Linked DNA regions of Bombyx mori. The protein of the gene in region 3 interacts with the protein of the main gene of each other region in a pairwise test. Links are inferred from orthologs where the notes say so. Each region holds a gene or a part of one and is shown on either strand. Other genes may lie near its edges.

Region 1 (6,691 bases), on a different chromosome or scaffold from region 3:
ACTAAGAATGACATGTTTAGTTGATAGGGATGTATTTATTGCAAAGTAAAGCATATCGGTTGTTCGCGGGGTATATCAAGCCGAAACTAGATAAAACTCATATTAGGATAATCGCAACGCAAAAAAAAACTCAATTAAATAGTTTCGGAATGAATTTTCCTTGAACATAAGCCAACTATTCATCTGCTCAACCCTCGAATTGTGTTTTACATAAGGTAACGTACAATATGTTTGGTGGTGACAGATAAGGCTGGCCACATATCAAAAGATGCGAAATTGAGGTTTTTTTTTGAAAATCCCACCAACTTCGGGTTTCTTTATGATATCGGAGGTTACACGAAAACGCAGCAGACTCGATAACTCGACAGGCCTGATTGAGCGGGTTCTCCGAAATAAAAAAGGTACACATGATTTCAGCTAATTGAAACACACATACACTCCTCCGACGCCGGTAATCGTCCGTAACGTAAGATCTTTATTAGTAATGCACACAGTGTACGACTGACTTTGTAATGACGTACAAATTAGTAATGCACACAATGTACGACTTAACTTTGTAATAACGTACAAAAAATAACATAATTTTTTTCATTCATTGACCACGATCTCAGAGCGTTCGTTTGTGCAATACACTAACTCTTATGCAAACAACCGTGAATGAAGTGTACCACAAAAAGTTCGCACGCTACCGAATGACCCATGGGTTGTTGCGAAACCTCCAGTTTTATTTTCTTTGTACCTCTAATTGTATTTAAAATTAATATTTTTATAATAAGGAACTTCGTTCCTATCCGGTGTCCCACGACACCACACTTTTTTTTTTTCGTATTCGTTGTTTCTTATGTGTTAAACGAATTTGTCCTCGTTCTGAGGCATTGAGCTGAATGAACGGCCTAACGGTACTTTTATTGCTTATATTTAGGGCTGTCATCAAACAGTTGAAACAATAAATATATTAGTTTTTGTATGAAGTTCCGTTGTAGCATTTATTAATTATAACTAAGTTTTTTTTACATTTTAACGTGATATATATTATTGATAGCTGACCCGGCAGACTTCGTAGTGCCTCAATCGATAAATAAAAGACCTAAACTTTTGTATAAAATAAACTTAAAACAAACAAAAGGAAGGGGAAATCAAAATTATTATTTTTATTTAATTCTGAGCATTTTCCTTGTTATCCACCTATAACCTTCTCTGGACTTCCACAAATAATTCAAGACCAAAATTAGCCAAATCGGTCCAGCCGTTCTCGAGTTTTAGCGAGACTAACGAACACCAATTCCTTTTTATATGAGGCCTATAAAATCAAAGGCAGCTAAATCCAAGTCTGTCAAATATTCAGGTAAACTACAAAAATCAGCCCTAAACACGTCTTTACGGATCCTCCCGATCCATCGAAGTACTGCTCTTGCTAGGACAAGTGTTAGAAACACTCCCGGTTTGAGAAGCTGAAATAACTGTGTTCGGATAGCTACGATATTCTTTATTTTAAAGCAGATGTATAAAGAATGAGAATATTACTAATAATCTGAATTTTAAATGATAAATCTTCGTTTATTAGTACTTAGTACGGAGTAAAAATAAATTTTTTGAACTGAATTTGTTAGAGATTTAGCTGCATTTGTTATAACATGAAAACACTAAAGCGTGTCCAACTAACTAAGCAAGATAGCGCTATTGTTAATCAATTTTACGAAATTAAGGCGTTTAGCTGCCTTTGATTTTATAGGCCTCATATGATCTTCATATCATATAGATAGAAGAAGAAGATAGAAGATAGTCAAGTTTCGGGTTGATATACGCATTATGACATACACAACCGCTATGTAAAAATGCTTCAAACTGCTACTGTGTACTGAAATAAATTCTTAATTTTACTGAAGCAATAACACAACTGTCCAGTTCAGCCATGTCGTTAACAAGTACATAATATGTACATTATTAACAACATGTTGTACAATTAACCCCCGCACAATCAGAGAGCAACCATTGCCTTCATATCTTCAGTAGAACTCACCACACATGAAGCTGTAGTAATAAATTATTTTGTCACTTAATGTTTAGCATTGTTTTTGTTCAAAATCTTATGTAGTATATAATATATAGAGAAAAAGGGTTTTAGATGGGTATTACTGTAATATGTATATATGTTAAATGATTAATACGAACATTTAAAAAATGTCCCTTAGTCAACATTTTATTTTTAATAAAAAATATTTTCTTTTGTAATGTAAAGCATTATATTTTTCAAATTATTTTAATTTTAATTGACCTATGATAGCATCTTGTTATAATTAACTTACTTGATCATAAAAAGACATGAAAAAAAATATAGATTTTTTTCAAACAAAGAAGTGTTTTAACCCTTCTTTGTTTACTCCTATACAAGCCTATTTATATCGTTCACTAATTTCCAGATGAAATTTGGCAAAACTTATATTAAATATGTGTCATTTTGTTGGAGTGGTTGCAAGTAAAGTTTAAATTGTTATGACTTGCCAATTTTCATCATCATACATCATACATTCTATGATTATATGTTACAGGTAACCTATACACATCACTGATAATAATCTCTGGATATCAGTATGAAACCAAAAAAAAAAGTTTAATTCTTATTAACAATGATTCAAACTTCTTTCACAGTATGTAATCACAAACTTTCATTATTCTTTCCTGCTTCTTGTCAAGACTTTTTCATTTTTTCATTGATAGTTATTTCATTATGAAAGTAACTATAAGGTAAGGTAATAATACTCTGGTGGTGTCCTAGACAATACTATAGCTTCTAACATAGCTCTTATTTTGCACCGTAAGCAATAACATAAATTATGAGATCTAATATTCTGAGTCATATTTTCTAGATTTACCTCATCAGATACTGCAGAATCCATCTCGAGGTTGAAATGATTGGCGGCCCGACCCTTGTCTGTAGAAATAAATAGAAAATTCAACACATTTTTTAAGGATATATAAATAGGTAATTTTACACTGTAGTTCTTAGTTTTTGTGTTTTTTTAACATTTATAATCAATTCTTAAAATTAATTGTGTAGACTTTTTCACATTATGTAATGTATTCCTATTCCTTGTCATATCACTCTTGTCAGAGCAGTTGTGATAGTCATTCAGTATCATTGCTGTGAGCAGATGTTATGCACCTCATGAGCAATCCCCACTTCTCCTGGTTTGTGATGAGCCTGGTGCTCATGTAAACAACACATTTTTTGACATATCTCCAGGCAAGTAACACCTATATTATTATATTATATTATTATACATTGTTAATAATATGACTTTTCCAACAAACATAATGTCAACAATGGTATTCATAATTTTATATCACTCAGTTTGAACAATCCATTTAATGACCAGATTTAATATTTGTACAACATTTTGTTGTCCTATTATACAACATTTTGCAAATCAGTGTTACTTAAAAGAAATGAAAAGCATCAAGTGTGACAAGTAGACCTTAAGATCATTATATTTCTCATTTTTCATTTTATAGTGGTCCATTGTTAGTTTGGATGATCATCAAAGTAATTTACAGACAAGAGATTTGATCACTATTTGGTAACCTCTAAGCAGCTCACTCGAATGGAATCAATCATAAGTTTCGAGCGGTTTCATAAAGCTTCGGAAGCTCGTCTCACGCCACTCGTTCTGGTCATAAATATCGCATTAATTCGCGTTGGACACTAATGTACAAAGGACCAGTAAATTATCGATGAGTAAATGATTAATTAGAAAGTTAAGTTCACGTAAATTACTCAATGTAATGAGATAAAGTATGTTGTTATCATAATGTCATTTTGTCAATTGTAATTTCGTCTTAATAGCTGTGTACGATTTAAAATGAAATGTGTTATTCATACTGTCAACAAAAATATCTGATCTACCTACTTACGTTGTAAAAACGCCATAACGAGATATCATAGACCTATTAGGTTTCCTACTTCATTGCGAGATATGTGTGATTTTTTTTCAATAGTATGCATGTATCAATGTTTGTGTATCTGCAATTCGATGCAGGTACGAACGAACTTCGATGCAGGTACTTTTTAAAACATTAAAATGTGACTTGGATTCTGCAGATTCTGCACATATTTGATTAAAATTGATCGATGCTTTATTTTAATTTGGTGGTTCAATTAAAGATGCAAAAGAAACTTCGCTCATACGGTCAAGACTCTGGCTGTGACAACTTCAATTTACTATTTTCGTTTTCAGACTTTTTTCCCTACCTAAGCAATTAGGTATGAAAAAACCGTGGGCTTTCAACAGCTTTGGGTAGGCCAACGGGGCTCACCAATCGTCATAACGTTATTGGAATAGCCATAGGTTATTGGAATAGGGATAGGTTGAGCACACTCACGGGCTCGAGAGAATCTCGGACATTAACACTAACGCTAGCACGAATACTCCTTCGGCTTTTGAAATATACAAGACTGTCAAATCATTGACAGTATTCGACAGCGTCAGGGCTATGAAGCTATGTTGAAACTGGTACATAGGTACAGAATTGCAACGATTTTATTTAATCTTTAAAATTAGTGACTTAGAACAAAAATGTTACTTAATTCAGGAAATAGTACACTCAATTCAACATTTAGTATCACTTTAAAAGCAATTTTGATGTAAATGAATTTGGGTATGTTTGAGAAATATGAATAGAAAATGACCAGTAGCGATTGTGAAACAAACAAACAAATTGGTTTAGCATTCCTGTAGCTTTCTTCGTTATCTTAATTTTGAATTTATTGCTCTATTGAGATCATAATTTTCAAATGTGGAACTGGACCTGTAAGTATAAAATATTGTAATATTTTTCAGTAAGAAAGTGTATTAAATTGTTTATCAACATAATTTTAAAGCAAAATTTATTGGAATACAATAAATAATCCAACTGCATACATGAAGTCTTCGTCGCGTAATAAATGAACTGCCTAATGTATTTTTACACCAGTACCAATTATTATAAGGAAATACTTAATGCATGTTCACGAACAACTTCTTAATGAAGGAATATCATTCCAGAACTTTAACTTCTCTAGTAGTGTCTTCATATGCACTCATGGTATTAACATGCCATTTTGACTATTTTATTGTATCATTTAAAATATTTAAAAGACTATATGAGTCGTCTATTATCAAAGGCGGCAATCTGTACATTTGGACAAAAAATTTTTATTGATATGTCAATACAGATTTATTTGAATATAATCGTCTCCTTCAAAGAATACGGTTCAAAACCTGCATTAAATAAAGGTTAATAGTTAACCTGTTATTTATCTAAGATGTCGTTCCGAAGAGTTTTGTGACTGCCAATGGAATACAAAGTCAATAATTCGTTTTTCTGATTTACCAATCATTGTCCAAAAGTCAGATTGCCACCTTTGATAATAGTCGACTCATATAGTACATATGATACTGTTTCCTTCTTAGGTACGAAACTTGTTTGATCTAATGACAGTAATCAGCTAACTATATTCATAACTAATCAATATTTGTATGTTAAATTGTTAATTGATTGGAATGGGGTTTTTATATTTAACAATTATATTTAATTATATACATTGATTTTGCTTTTGGTTCAGTTTTATAAAATTATTTTTTTGGATTTCTAGTCAACATGGAATGAACAATGTCTTCAGTCCACTGCGTTGTAGTATGGGAGTGGCAGTCAAATGGTCAATGGTTACCACACACGCCAAGTGTTACAAGGACCCTAGAAAGGGCTCATGCTAAGAAGTTAACCAGGGTGGTATTGGCTGATGCTGATCCAGCATTGAAGGGATATTATGTTAACTTGCTGACCCTGACACAGAGTAATGAGACGCCTGGTAATTACACATTTACATAAACCTGAGTTCAATTGCTATTATATTATTTATTCCTTTACTGTGACTGACTCTGCTAAACACCCAAAACACTAATAACATAACATAATAACAGTACAATTAAACTTCTAGCCATGAGTACCGATTAATAACAAATTATTTATAGGAGTATGCCATGCATACACTTATACAGGTGCTATTAAGGTTATATTAAGCTGAAAATTTTAGTTAGCGTTCAATTAGAATAACCATTTTGATATAAAAATATGTTTTCAAGTAAATATTTTTGGAATAAAAAGCACTTAAACATTAAGAAAAAAGAAATTACCTGGAGACCCTTTAATTATATTTTAGAGAAGGGACTGTAATATGAATTCTATTAAATAATAAGGCTGATTACATATCAAAAGATGTGAATTTCTGTCAGAAGTAAACATATTAAAATATTTTTCTCTACCAAATAGGTACTGTCCTCGTGGTTTTTATTAGGCCCTATTTGATAAACAATCTGTATCTTCTAGGTCAAGGTCACTAACTTTTAATTTACAAATATTTATGCCTGTAAACCAAGATGTACTCATGAAATGCTAAAAATCTATTTAATTTAATAATTTCAACAACTTTCGAATGCTTTCAGAAGTTACAAGAAACATAGCATATGTGACACAAGCACACACTTCCGTCTGTCGTGGTACTTATTTATTTAGTAGAAATCAAACCCCAGTTGGAGTAGATACGTACATTGCGTCAAATGATAGTTAGGAAACAATAGTTGGTTGTTTTATTCAAGTTTTGATATCCATGATAACTACTTAACTACTAAACTACTTAAATTATTCAAAATGT
Region 2 (6,691 bases), on a different chromosome or scaffold from region 3:
ACTGCAAACTCTAAGACCGTCTAACTTTTCCAGACATCACTTAATTACATTAAACTATAGTATCTTACGAACATTTTGGACGAGTTATAGAAACCGCGTGACAGAGTATGAAAAGAAAAAAAAAAACTTCATATAATCACACAAACCAAAATCTTTTTGATATTCGTACGAAAACAATGAAGACCTCAGTGTGCTTAATGTGAGTTTTTTAACGTTCTCGATAGCGAAAAAGTTAAGTCAAATTTGTATGGAATTAGAACGTAGGGCCTACGTTTGTCGCTAGAGGTGCTGTAACAACTGCATACTAAGTTGAGTTAACTTTTACGCTATCGAGAACGTTAAAAAACTCGCGCCAAGCACACTGGATCGTACGATAGAAAAGAGGCACTGATGACGCGTACTAGGATCTGACTCACCTAGTCGGACTATAGTCTTTGGGTATCACTGCAGACTGGAGCAGCCTGCAGGAGTTGTGCTATTGCAGCGTGTTGTCCGGCAGGCGGTGATCGTGCCAGGCGGAGTCCGGCCGCATGACGTCATCGACCGGCGGGCACACCGGCCGCGGCGCCGGCTCCGGCGTGTACGTGAACGTCAACCCCGTTGCGTATATTATACCGTCGTTGCGAACTAATGATACAGGAACCTGGAATTAAAGGCGAACTATATGCTAAGCGATCATTTACTTCCCAGCCTTCAAAACCGAAATGCAACAAATCTATACATATAAATAAAATTAGAGTGTCTGTTTGTAATACTAAAATAACCGCTTTTTACTACATGCATATGAATATATATATATACGGTACATACACCAAAATGTCAATTTTTACAATTTTTGTCTGTCTGTCTGTTTGTTCCGGCTAATCTCTGGAACGGCTGGACCGATTTTGATGAGACTTTCACTAATAGGTAGCTAATGATATAAGAAGTAACTTAGGGTACTTTTTTAGACTAGCTTCGCCTCGCGGGGTCACCCGCAGTTATTGTCGTACCGCGCGCAACATGGCGGGACTCTTCTATCAATAATAAAATTTAATGTTTCCGAAGCGAAGCGAGGGCGGGTCGCTAGTCTCTAATATAATTCAAACTACTTTTGCGGTTTAATCTCCCGTCTATTGTTATCGTTACATTATTTCCGACGTTTGAAACAATTTACAGTTTATATGGTCACGTCCGATGGTCCATATAGGCAGTTTTAACTATGTCAATAAACCAAAGAAAATACAATTCCTTAAATAGTTTTTATGTCTCTATTCCTCTAATTATCTTTTAACTTAACACAAAATAGTTCTGATGTGTGCTTGCTTTAACAAGTAGGTTTGGTGGAAGATTTGTCTTTTTTCGTCTACATAAATAAAAATCTATATTCAAATTGTTTCAAAAAATAAGAATAAGCATCTAGATAATCATTGAACACAGTGTGCGTTGTTAAAAACGTGTTCAGAAATACCCAGAGAAAAAACAATTTTTTTTAATGTTCTTGTTTGTATTATTTGAAATTTGTTGCAATTATTAATATAAAATCGTTTAAAATTAATAAGAAATTTTATTGTGAACCACACAAGTCAACGTTAGATAACAGAAAAACGATAAAGCATATGCATGAAATATTTTTGAGTTACATTTAAACCTACCTGCGTAGGCTGCCGGACCCACAGCCACTGCCCTCTGAATTGTGATATATCTGGAACTACGCACAGCATGGACTCAGCACATCTGTACATTGTTTCCGCTTCAACATCACCAAACCACACTTGTAGGGAAGGTGTGAAATTATCTCCAGCCAATTCTAACATGGCAACATCGCCACCCCCGTTGAGATTTAATGAGTGCACCAAGGGTACCGGTGTTACTGGTGACCTATGAGGCAAGAATATTAGTAAGTTTAAATAGAAAGTTAAATACATAGTTTAGGTGTGTCCTAGTTATATCCTTTTTTATAGAGAAACCTATGCCTAACCTATACCTAACTATGCTTTCACAAAGACAAAAATTCGTTTTTTTTTAACATACACTACTCAGATTTTTCAATAATTATTTGGATAAATAAAATAAGCCTTTAAAAGCCAATAAATAATTTTTTGTATATGTATTTTTTTTTCATTGAAGTTGATAAAATGTAACGAATGAAAGTCTGTATGTACATATGTATTTATAAAAAAGGGATTTTTTTTAGAACATTTATTATCTTTGGCTTTTATAAAAATGTTTTAGTAAGGCATTTTTTTTATTTTTTTTTATTGCCTGTATGTGTGGACGAGCTCACAGCCCACCTGGTGTTAAGTGGATACTGGAGCCCATAGACATCTACAACGTAAATGCACCACACACCTTGAGATATAAGTTCTAAGGTCTCAAGTATAGTTACATATAGTATAGTAAATAGTTATCATTTAAAAAAAATATTTTTATAATTGGAAACTCCTTGCATTTCAACCTAATGCATTGCATCAATAACCTAATGAATACAAAACAGTATTGATATTCGAATCAAATGTTTACATTAAGTTCCAGCAATAAAGAGCATTTATATTTATCAATATAGTTTGTTGGTCATTTGATAACTGCCACAGTGCATGAGAAAAACAAATATAGTAGTAGCATGTTATACAAACATATTTATAGTTTGAATAGTTTAATTTTTGAAAATACTTTAGGACATAAGTTTGGAGGGTGAGTCTGTGACCCATGAATGAGGTTGAGGATGATTGTGTTTTTTATTGTTTTAGTAAGAGTCATCTTAACTCTTGAAATGAGAACAAATGTTAGATTTAGCTAGATTAAATTTTGAAAACTTTTAAATAGAACAAGGTCATGACAATGTGGCAATAATTTTTTTAACAATAAAATAGTGTTTTATCAAAAATATGGTGTAACAAAAACTTTATTGTTAATAAATATGTCCTTCTTTAATAAACAAATAGTTTAACTAAGTATTTTAGTTTTATGAAATACTATTCTATTTCAAATAGTTTTGGAATATTACCTAACGGGTCCCATTCCTTCATAAAATTGGTATTCAGCCTTATCAGTCGAAATTATGGTCCAGCAAGCTCCATCATTTATCATTTCCTTATTGGGTTCTTTAGGGCATGGAGTTGCCTGGAACTGTATAATTCGTTCCTGGGATAGGCATAGATACATTCTCTCCGTATCCTTCATATAAAAAGCACATTTGTGTAGCTGCGATACTGGATCATCAGCCTCTAGTAAAGCCATTTGTTTATCTACCTAAAAATCAAATATGCTATTATATTTATAAATGTTTTTTATCTATTTATTAAATGTTAAAATCTATATTCTTAAAATGAAAATTAAATTTAACTTGATGTGATTAGCCTTAATGATGTGAAAATTCTACATAATGAATAATTGAGGCCTATAAAATCAAAGGCAGCTAAATCCAAGTCTGTCAAATATTCAGGTAAACTATAACTTTAATCACCTTTCTAATAATAAGCCTTGGTAAAGCCATACCAGTCACAGAACAGACTAGTTTTACTGTAGATCCATAGTGAACATATCCATCTCTCACTGCAAACTCTTCAGACTCACTCTCATTATCATCCAGTAGATGAATAGTAAATGCCCCCCATTGGGTAGATGATGCATGAAAATTACCATTTTCCACATGCAAATATCTGGTTGACACTGTCTGTGACCTTAGTCTGTTAAATAGAGCTACCTTTGTTCCACTAGCTATACATAAGTCAGCATTTTTTAATGACTGCTTCTTTTTGGAAGGCTTTGAAATTACTTTAATTCTTTTACTGTTGAATATACCAATATCATGTCCATTTCCATAGAACATTTTTACAGATAGCATAAAGTGTTTTCGTTTATCTGAATCAGATATGTACAAGGTTTTTGCAGCACAATACTGTTTACCATTGTTGAGATCCAATTGTTGCATGTCTTGGTCTGAATTACCAATCCCAATGAATGCACACAGTTGAGCTGCCTGTTCCGTTTCTCCCTCTCTTAGCATGCGTTCTCGCCGGAGGCGCCATCCATCACCAAAGAGGTATATACATGGAGGCGGGCAAAAAAAACGTTTTTCATTTCCATAAGATTTCTGTGCTACTTTTGCATGTAAAATTACAACTACCATATCAGAGCGATCACGTAAATATCTCTCCATGGCCTCACGGGTGAGACGTCGTTCTTCGGGACGATAGGCGCCAGCGCCAGGACCAGCTGCGCTGGCGTAGCGAGGGTACGCGCCCACCGGCGCTGGCGGCGACGCACCGCCCGCGCCGCCGCCGTACTGGTGCGGCATGCTAGCCACGGCTAAATCACCATCAGCCTACCCTCATATCTTCAACGGCATTGTTCGAAAAACTATGTGGAGTGATCTCTTCTCCAAGGCACCATGATTACATCTCCATAACAGAGGATCTGTAGCACACTACAGCAGTCGCACTGGATGCTTGATTAGAGGCACTTTTGTAAATCGATTGGGAAGTCGCTCGATCCCTTTTTCTGTTATATTATTCACGCCACTAAAAATTAATTACGGTGGGAACTAGCACACGTTTCATTCAAAAACACCTGTTCAACATTGGAATTTTCAGACGAGTCACTAAATTTACCGGTTCCAAGTTTAGGAAAAGAATTTGATAAACTGTTAGCGAACTTTTGTATTTGCTTAAATTTTCGTTTGTTCCGCTTTCTTGATAAATGTACGATTTTATCAAACTTCTGTTTATTTCTCAAGTTTACGTCCGACAACGCCAAATACCAATCTGTCAAATCTGACCATAGATAGATTGACATAGACACCGTTTAAGCAATCTGAAGTGCAAGCAATTTGCTTTCCAATAATTTACATCTACGCGTGCGAAACAACAATGAAATCCTCGAATGCGAAGCAGACCGACTGACGAAGCTGACTGAAAGCCGCCGACGGTCGTAGTAGGATGTGGGGTTACGCCGCGTGGGGCGTGAGAAAATAATGTGTGGGAAAGAGTAGGCGGTCGGCGGTCGCAGCGTGTGTAGTAACTAGTAAAACACCCAGTCTCCACTAACTCAAATTATAGTTTCATTTGATAGTGTGTGTAGTAAACAGTGATTCATATGTTGAAAAGTTACAATGTGTGAGGAAGAGAGCGACGATTGACCGAAGAACCCGTGGGAAACGACCTTTGTTATGTACTCTGATTTATATTTATATACATTAGTGTAAACAAAAAAAGTTCGGTCGGAGCTACTCTTATCGGTAACGATGGGAGTCACTGGATTGTGGCGGTTGATTGAACCGACAGGAAAGCCAGTTCCAGTAGAAACGTTGGAAAATAAGGTTTTAGCTGTTGGTAAGGCCTTATAAAATTATTACAAACACATAATGGCATTTAAAAATACAATTGTAATGTATGAACTAATGTTTCTCAGACATCTCAATATGGTTGCACCAGATGGTGAAAGGTTACCAAGATGCCAAAGGAGCCCCTTTAGCAAATGCTCACTTGATGGGCTTGTTCCAACGGCTTTGCAAACTTCTCTACTTCAGGATAAAACCAATTTTCGTCTTTGATGGTGGCTTTCCAGACTTGAAGAAAGAAACAATTGTTAGTTATGTTTTAAGCTTTTTTTAGAATAACATTACTGCTCAGAAGTAAGATGCTTAAACGTGTTTCAGTACATGTAGCTTACTTCTTTTTTCCTGTATTGTCTTGTTTATCCCTTTAGCAAAAGTAGACCTGAAATATATCTGTTTAATTATAATAGAAACAAGTAGGAAGTGTAGCTTAATATTACTACTTTTACTAAGGGCAGTTGACAGAGAATAGTAATATAGTAGTAGTAGCTATTTTCATAAATTTGAATAATAATGCATCAATAACAATTGCATCCTTCTATAATATAAGCCTTTATCATGTTAAAATAATAATGCTGAGAAAGAATTTACTTTCTAACTAAACCACCATTAAACTATTATCAAATAATTTATTTTTAGTCTAAAAGACAAGATCACAAGGCGAAATATAATTCAGAATCTGAAAGAATAAAGAGAGAATTAGCTCTTCTTTTAAGCAAAAAAACTGCTATCAACAGTTTGCTTGGAAAGCAGATTTCACCAAAAAAGAATGTAGCTCAAACTGAAAATGAAGATAATATATTCAAATTGCCAGAACTCCCGAAGAAGAACCAGGAGAGTGAATCAGAGTATGTAAAATGAAATAACCAATTACATTGTTACATTTCAAATTTTTGATGATTTTTTAAAATTTTTATGTTTTATAAAAAAAAATTAAATTACTGTGATTTTCTTCAAATTTCTTAGATATATCTCTATCATTTCTATCACTAATTTATTATTTCCATTTCAGTGTTTTCAGGTTTCAATTTTAAGTACTAATAATACTTATATGATTAAAATTTACATTGTAGTTCTGAGGAAGAAAGTTCAAGTGGCTCCTCTGTTGATCTACATTCAATGGATCTAAACTCTGAACATTTCAAAAACATGCCTCTTAAAGAGAAGTATGATCTACTTGTAGAGTTAAAAGAAACAAGAAAAATGAATTCTTGGGGAAGATTACATGAATTACCAAAGAAAAGTGACAGTTTTTCTGATTTCCAGGTAAGTAAAGTAGCTGAAAGAAAGTTCTACATTCAATGGCCTCAAGCAAGAATTTTTCATGTGTGTGAAACATACATGAGACAAAAACTACTACTTTTTCTAAATTAC
Region 3 (6,691 bases):
GTCAACAGTGATTTCTTCTTGTAATCGGCGAGTTTTGAATTCCGAATGAGTTTCATATTCAATTATAATGACAGGTACATGACTGCTTTGAAATTATAGGGCCAAGTTGATACGTTCAACCCGACTAAACGCATTGCGAGATAACGATACGAAATAAGAGTGAGGGAATTTTTTTTATACTGTAGAGTTCCGTATCTTTTTTGGAACGCACAATCATAGTTCATTATTGTTAAGATTGGCTGTAATTAATTCAATTTGAATTTTATTCTATGATGTGACTACCACTTTCTTTTGGTTTGCACAATATTTTTATTCCTTTTCGGATCACAGCCTCTTGAAATATGAGCCATAATTGCCGTTTAACTTAACAAAAAGGATACTATAAAATATAATTTCCAATCGCTTACGTGCACTGTATATTTAAAAGAGTTGTAAACTTGAATTTCATGTTTGAAGTTCATACTTAAGATTATAGTATTCAAACAACAAAAAAAAGGAAATGGCGTACAGAGATCCGGAAATTCACGGAAAAACTAGTGTTTAGCGAAAACGGAAGCTTCAAGACTGCACAAAGATACATCCTATCTTATAGCGTGAAACCAAAGTATTTTATACGGAATGTCCAACCTTAAAACTGAAACGCATGAGTGCTTCTTGGCAGAAACAGAAAGAACATTGATACCCGCTTGTGTGGTTTAGTATGCTATGCCACGATTACCTGACCCCTATTTTTATTGCAAAGAGTATGTAGTTTAGTTTGTAGCCCATATCGCATTAAATGATTACCAAAATCCATAGAAATCACAACCTGAACGCCAACACCTACCTTGAGGTATGAGGTTGAAATCTCCTTTGTATTATACAACCTCACCCTTCAAATCAGAATGCCTGACTATTACGCTCGATAGTACAGTACCGTCTAGTTCCTCTTGGTTCCTAATTTATACCAAAAGTACCAAAGACAGAAATTACGTGGATAGTTAAATAGGAAAATAAAATATAAATATACCACTGATTAACTAGATTTATACAGTCCCGCAAAATTATAATTTGCGTAATTACTGGTGGTAGGACCTCTTGTGAGTCCGCACGGGTAGGTACCACCGCCCCTCCTATTTCTGCCGTGAAGCAGTAATGCGTTTCGGTTTGAAGGGTGGGGCAGCCGTTGTGACTATACTGAGACCTTAGAACTATATCTCAAGGTGTGTGGCGCATTTACGTTGTAGATTTCTATGGGCTCCAGTAACCACTTAACACCAGGTGGGCTGTGAGCTCGTCCACACATATAAGCAATAAAAAAAAAGTTACAAGATAGCATGTACTCATAGCTATTGAAAGAGTTTTTTTTTACATTGTCCTACTGATTTCTCTATATGTGGGTTAAATATGTACTAGGAATTTTGACAGTATTTCTGTTTTTGTACAGTAATAAGGTAAAATAATCTGCTATATGTAATTGATATTTTTCAATATCAAGTTTTGAAGAATCGGAATGTGTAAAAGCCTCTACAGAACGAATGTGCACCAAGTAAGAAGAGAAAGATTCAAGTCGCTGTTTGAAGGGTCATAATAATTGTCGTATGATTGAAAATGAAAATTATTCCACCAAATAATTTTTCTTGTTTTTATTTTGTTCCATTTAAAAACCGCTTGTAACAAATTTAAAAAAAAGAAGTCCACGGCCCTGTAATTTAAGTCCTCAATTATATAGCAGTAAGATCGGGAGCATGTGATTGCAATTTCGAGCTTCAACTTATACCGTATTTATCGTTTGCTTCACTAAATTAGTTACATTTACAGCTCCACAATTTTTTTTTCTTTCTATATTTATAGGAATTTATACCAAATTACCTATGTTTTAGGTATTTATACCAAAAAAGGTTTACTTTACAGGTATTACAAATTAGCAAACTGTCCAAATGAACAGCAGGGACCGTTCATGGACAAGCCCGAACTTTTCATACATGCCACGTCCAACAAGCGTCCTTGTATTGTTTCGCGGCCTGTGTTGCGTGAACCCACAGTGAATTATAGCCGACGGTTCGACTTCTCATTTTATTTTGTTATTTTTTAGGCCCTGTTACTTAATTTTTATCAAGTCGCATGAATTATGACGAGGCGGGACCACACGCGTAGCATTAATTACTCGTCGCCGGCCCAGGTGAACTAATCGATTCAATCGAAATTCGAATAGGACTTCTTTTCCAGAAAAACTACTACGAATGAGAGAGAATCGATTCTTATAAGACTTAAATTCTAATCTATACCAACTAATATGCCGTATTAGATATTTTGTAAAACATTTTTAAAGCGTTATTTTATCTTTTAAGTGCATGAATTGAATGTTTACCGAAACGTATGTTTGAAGATTGAAGCGCTCTTAATGGGATGGTCATTTGTCGAATGGTCAGTGGCAGTAAGTTAATAATAATGCGCCCAAAACTAGACCGGGCCATTGACCCGGGCGGGCGGCGCGGGCGCACCTCTCCTGCCTCGTTGGGCCACTAAAATAGCGCTTTTTGCTTTACTTTATGCCTACACAATCAATTTTGAACCTGAAAAATTTCATCTTAAAGTATGTGTTAAGTATTGAAGGATTGTTAAACGTTTTATTTATTTTTAGATAGTAATAAAATAAATATACAACTTTTAATAATAAATAACTTTTATTTTATTTTATTTCTTAGCTTTATTAATGTATTTATAAAATTAATTTAAATTGTTATGGGTCAGAAAAGAGAACACAAGTAAATATCGACAACATATTTGTCTCTTTATTTTACATTCTCTCGAAATATTTTAGTGTTTTGTCGTCCGGTAAAAAAAGTAGGTATAATATGTTCTGCTAAATCTCCGTATAGTCCAGTCCAAGATTAAATCGTATTTTAATTCACAAACCTTGTTAGTTTTGTTCCAAAAAAAATTTTAAGACACGAGAACTTTATTTCAAATAATCCAGTTCCATAGCTCTATAATTTATATACCAGTTCCGTTGCTACGAACCATCAACATTCAGGAAGTCTACACCAAAGATTTTATGATCAAATCACTGATATCAATTTATCGTTACAAATTAGTAATTTGGAGGATCCTGAGTTTTGTCCGCAATAAAATTATTAATGGTACTCAAATCTGTCTCACTAATAAGGTGTTAACGAGGGTCGTTCGTTTTATGTGCTTTTTATTGACACTTGATTTGTCGGCTACCTGCCGGTTAGTATTGGACTCTTAGGAAACATTAATGGACGATTCTGAAGTGGCCCGATTATGTGTGCCAAACAGGATGGCAGCATTTTAGTGATTTTTACGGGGTATCGGACGTGACATATTTTTGTTACGCCTCTCATTTCCACTTATGTATATTAAATGTTGACGAGTTTTTTATGGGAAACGCAATATATTTTTAAATATAGAATCATAAATTTCAGTGATATTTGTAAACAAATATGTAATATACAATATTAATAGGTAGAGACTTCGGCAATTAATTTTATCAAAAAAAAAACTGCACCTACGATCGCAATAATACACTTCAATCGAATATGCAATTTCGAAAAGGGCACATGTCGCATATTTTGTCAAATACGTTTTTTCATATACATGTAGTTTTGAGGCTTACCTACACCCATTTTATAATAATTCCCGTAATTTTCAATTGCTAATTAACACTTAAAATATATTTCAAAAGTTAATATTTTAAATTTTACACTGCTTTAGAAAATAATCAGTTTTTTTTCATTTCCTGAACATTTTACATTTTCAGAGGTGTGCCCTTTTCGAAATTGCATATTCAATTTATATAGAGTTGTGATCGAGATAATTTTTTTTAACTTACTAACCTGCTATGGCCATCCAAGGGTAGAAAGTGTGGTTAGTAGGCTGCTGGTGCACTGGCTGCGCGGCTGATGCTGCTGATCCCGGAAGTGCACACTGGTTGCCCCACGGAAGCGCTCTACCAGGACTTGACGACTCACTGTATCGAGCTTCAGGAGTGCATGCTGCCGGCCTCACTAGTGCTCCCAGACCTGAGCCCCAGGCTTCTTTCCCACCATAGCCATTCTGCTGCTCACCGCCTGGCTTTGAACAATCTGCTTTAGGATATTGCTGCTCTCCAGCATAGAGCTTGCAGGCCGCCGCGACAGACGCGTCGTACGGTGAATCCTGAGGACGAGGCTGGTGCAAAGCGTGTGGCTGTGCATACGTGAGGCCCAGAGGGAAGCCGCGGTACTGGTCTCCACCACCGCCGCCCTGGTGCACTCCATGGGCCCCGTAAAAACCACCCTGCTCGAAGTAAGAGTTCATCGTGACCAGTCACAGGCACTAACGTCACTCAGGGAACACTTATGTCATCGCGGCCCCGCGCGCCGTGATAACGCGACCTCCGCCAATGTCACACCAAATACGGACAACGTAATTTATTTTTATTAATTTTATTGCCTCTTAAACGTCACTAAAGCGTCATAATGGGCTTCGTCGGCGATAAAGGCCAGTTGACGTGTGTTTACTTTTTACGATTATTTTACGACTCGGGAGCGCGTGCCGCGGGTTTTACGACTTTTTAAGCGGTTTCGTCTGCGGCGCCGGCTCGTCTCAGGACGTCAGCCGAGAGCGCGTCTCCACTGTATGAAATCAGAAGTGATCGTGGTGGTGTATGGGCCGGAGGCTTGTGTCGCGAGCGAAGTTTTCCGTCGCGTGTGGCGGGAGCGCGCGGCTGTGTGTCGTGTGCGACCGGCGCGACGCGGCTCACGCAATGTACTGAGCGCGGCTGAGACACGCGCGCCGCCCCGCGCTCACTGCTACCATCGCAGCCCAACGACTATTGTTCCGTCCCCTTTTCGCTAATCACTATAAATATTATCAGTTACGCTCTCTTTTCCTTTCCTTATCACACCCACTCGAGCACGTGGCGAACGTTCGTCAAACAAACTAGAACTTTAGCTGCTCTACTTCAGAATACCTAGGTTAATAACTGACATTTATATGACTTAAGAGAGAACTCAATAACATCAAATCCTATTATAAACTATATGTTTTCTTTTAACAATTTATGTATCTTCGGACGACCGCGTAACAAAACTTTTGAAGAGCCTCAACAAAAGCCTCAAAAATGAATAGAACGAAAAAGTTAAGCCGCAAAAGTCGTAAACTCATAAACGTACAATTAGTGAAACGGGCGAGTAAAGAAAAGATTTTACAGCCACTCGTCGACCGTGCCACAATGAGCGTTCAGTATCGTAACAAGGTGCTGAATAGAGTGAGAAGTCGTAAAGATGATTATTATTTCTTCTACTACCTGTTTTTACGAGTGATGTTTCTATTGCTCTCTTGCTTAAGGCGCCCGTTCGAGAGCGAAAGGGACAGCGCGTCGAGCGCGGAACGGTTATCATCCGAGCGGGGCTGATTAGTGTATAGCGGTCTTGGTCTCGCGCTGTGTAGCGCATGCAGTGGACAACGCACTATCGGAGGGTAAACAATAGCGCATTATCGCGAGTTCACTTCGCGCGACCAAATGAAGTCGTCAAACGAATGAATGGTGCGCCCTACCCTTAAGAATTGAACGCATTTTTATTGCGCCTTCGTATGTAAATATTTCCTTTAGATCCGGGTATTGAGACGTTTTTTTATTTATTTATTAAAAATGATATATGTAAAATGACAAGTTTAACACTTTTATTTTAATTAATAGATAATGGTGGTTTACGTTTCATGAATTAAATATACTTAAATTTTTTATGATTTTTTAAAACTTACCTTATTTCAGGTTTTCGTTAACTTGCAAAATAACTTATTGAACCAGAACCAAATCACGACACCAAACTAGAAATTAAGAAAAATATTAATAAATTAGAATTGAATTATATATTAATGGAACAACACAAGATTGCCCATGGGTACCTACATCCAAAACTCGCATAACACAAAACGATTGTGACAAGTGTTTTAAAAGCATAAATGATAATTATCTATTTATATTATTAACTTATCGTATTATAAATTGGCAGACACGTTCACTTTGCATTGCTCATTGGAGCCCATGGTCATCACAGCACGAAAGCGGTCATTCACCTTGAGATCGGTGTCTCAACTATATTGTATAATAACAGCAATTTTAAATCAAACCAAAGCGCAGGACTTGATAGACTTGCGCTACGTACCTGTGTGGGCTCACTAGGCTCTACAATTCGTGAAGATTATTAAAATATTACTTGAACTCTTATATTTACGTTAAAGACGAATAAACTAGTACCTACTGAATCTTTAAGACACAACTCTGTACTAGTTTATTTGAGATACGTCTAAAACTTCAGGAAGAGAAGAGAGCATATACATAGCTCTAGTTTGAAGGCTTCCAATGCAGTAAGAAATTAATTAGTTTTTTTATCGCACAAACCCGTGAACGAGCTTATGGTCCATCTGGTAGTAATTGGTACAATGGCACCATCCACCTTGACACATACGGTGTAAATTTCTACTGTACTGTTTCGCAGCCAAAATACGCAAGTTATTATTGTCTAGTAATTTACAAGCTCGAACCTATTAAAGTTCACATACCACTTAATACCAGGGGGCTGTGAGTTCGTTCACTCATCTAAATAATAATAAAAAATAAAAATAAACATATCCAACTGTTCTCCTGAATTTAACAATCGTTTAGTTGACAATTATAGCTATAATGGGTATTAACGATTGC

What was found.
Region 1: the proteins of Ubx (region 3) and uncharacterized protein LOC101741377 interact in a two-hybrid assay, tested with the Drosophila melanogaster proteins (2 studies listed by BioGRID). The link is inferred for Bombyx mori from reciprocal best matches to the Drosophila melanogaster genes Ubx and DIP1.
Region 2: the proteins of Ubx (region 3) and suppressor of hairless protein interact in a protein complementation assay, tested with the Drosophila melanogaster proteins (2 studies listed by BioGRID). The link is inferred for Bombyx mori from reciprocal best matches to the Drosophila melanogaster genes Ubx and Su(H).

Annotation. Positions count from the first base shown.
Region 1 is NC_085114.1:16,022,805-16,029,495, reverse strand, and holds the start of uncharacterized protein LOC101741377, read right to left. Parts: upstream 4,148-6,691; 5' UTR 4,004-4,147; coding exon 3,970-4,003; exon of another isoform or gene 3,937-3,969; coding exon 3,913-3,936; exon of another isoform or gene 3,909-3,912; intron 3,836-3,908; exon of another isoform or gene 3,584-3,835; intron 2,933-3,583; coding exon 2,874-2,932; intron 1-2,873. Other genes in the region: protein deltex, read left to right, coding at 5,650-5,848.
Region 2 is NC_085110.1:14,560,377-14,567,067, forward strand, and holds the start of suppressor of hairless protein, read right to left. Parts: upstream 4,472-6,691; 5' UTR 4,280-4,471; coding exon 3,446-4,279; intron 3,232-3,445; coding exon 2,987-3,231; intron 1,861-2,986; coding exon 1,635-1,860; intron 644-1,634; coding exon 476-643; 3' UTR 1-475. Other genes in the region: DNA excision repair protein ERCC-5, read left to right, coding at 5,225-5,312, 5,392-5,567, 5,957-6,165, 6,391-6,583. UniProt on the Drosophila melanogaster protein: Transcriptional regulator that plays a central role in Notch signaling, a signaling pathway involved in cell-cell communication that regulates a broad spectrum of cell-fate determinations.
Region 3 is NC_085112.1:6,102,480-6,109,170, forward strand, and holds the start of Ubx (ultrabithorax), read right to left. Parts: upstream 4,303-6,691; coding exon 3,840-4,302; intron 1-3,839. UniProt on the Drosophila melanogaster protein: Sequence-specific transcription factor which is part of a developmental regulatory system that provides cells with specific positional identities on the anterior-posterior axis. Binds the consensus region 5'-TTAAT[GT][GA]-3'.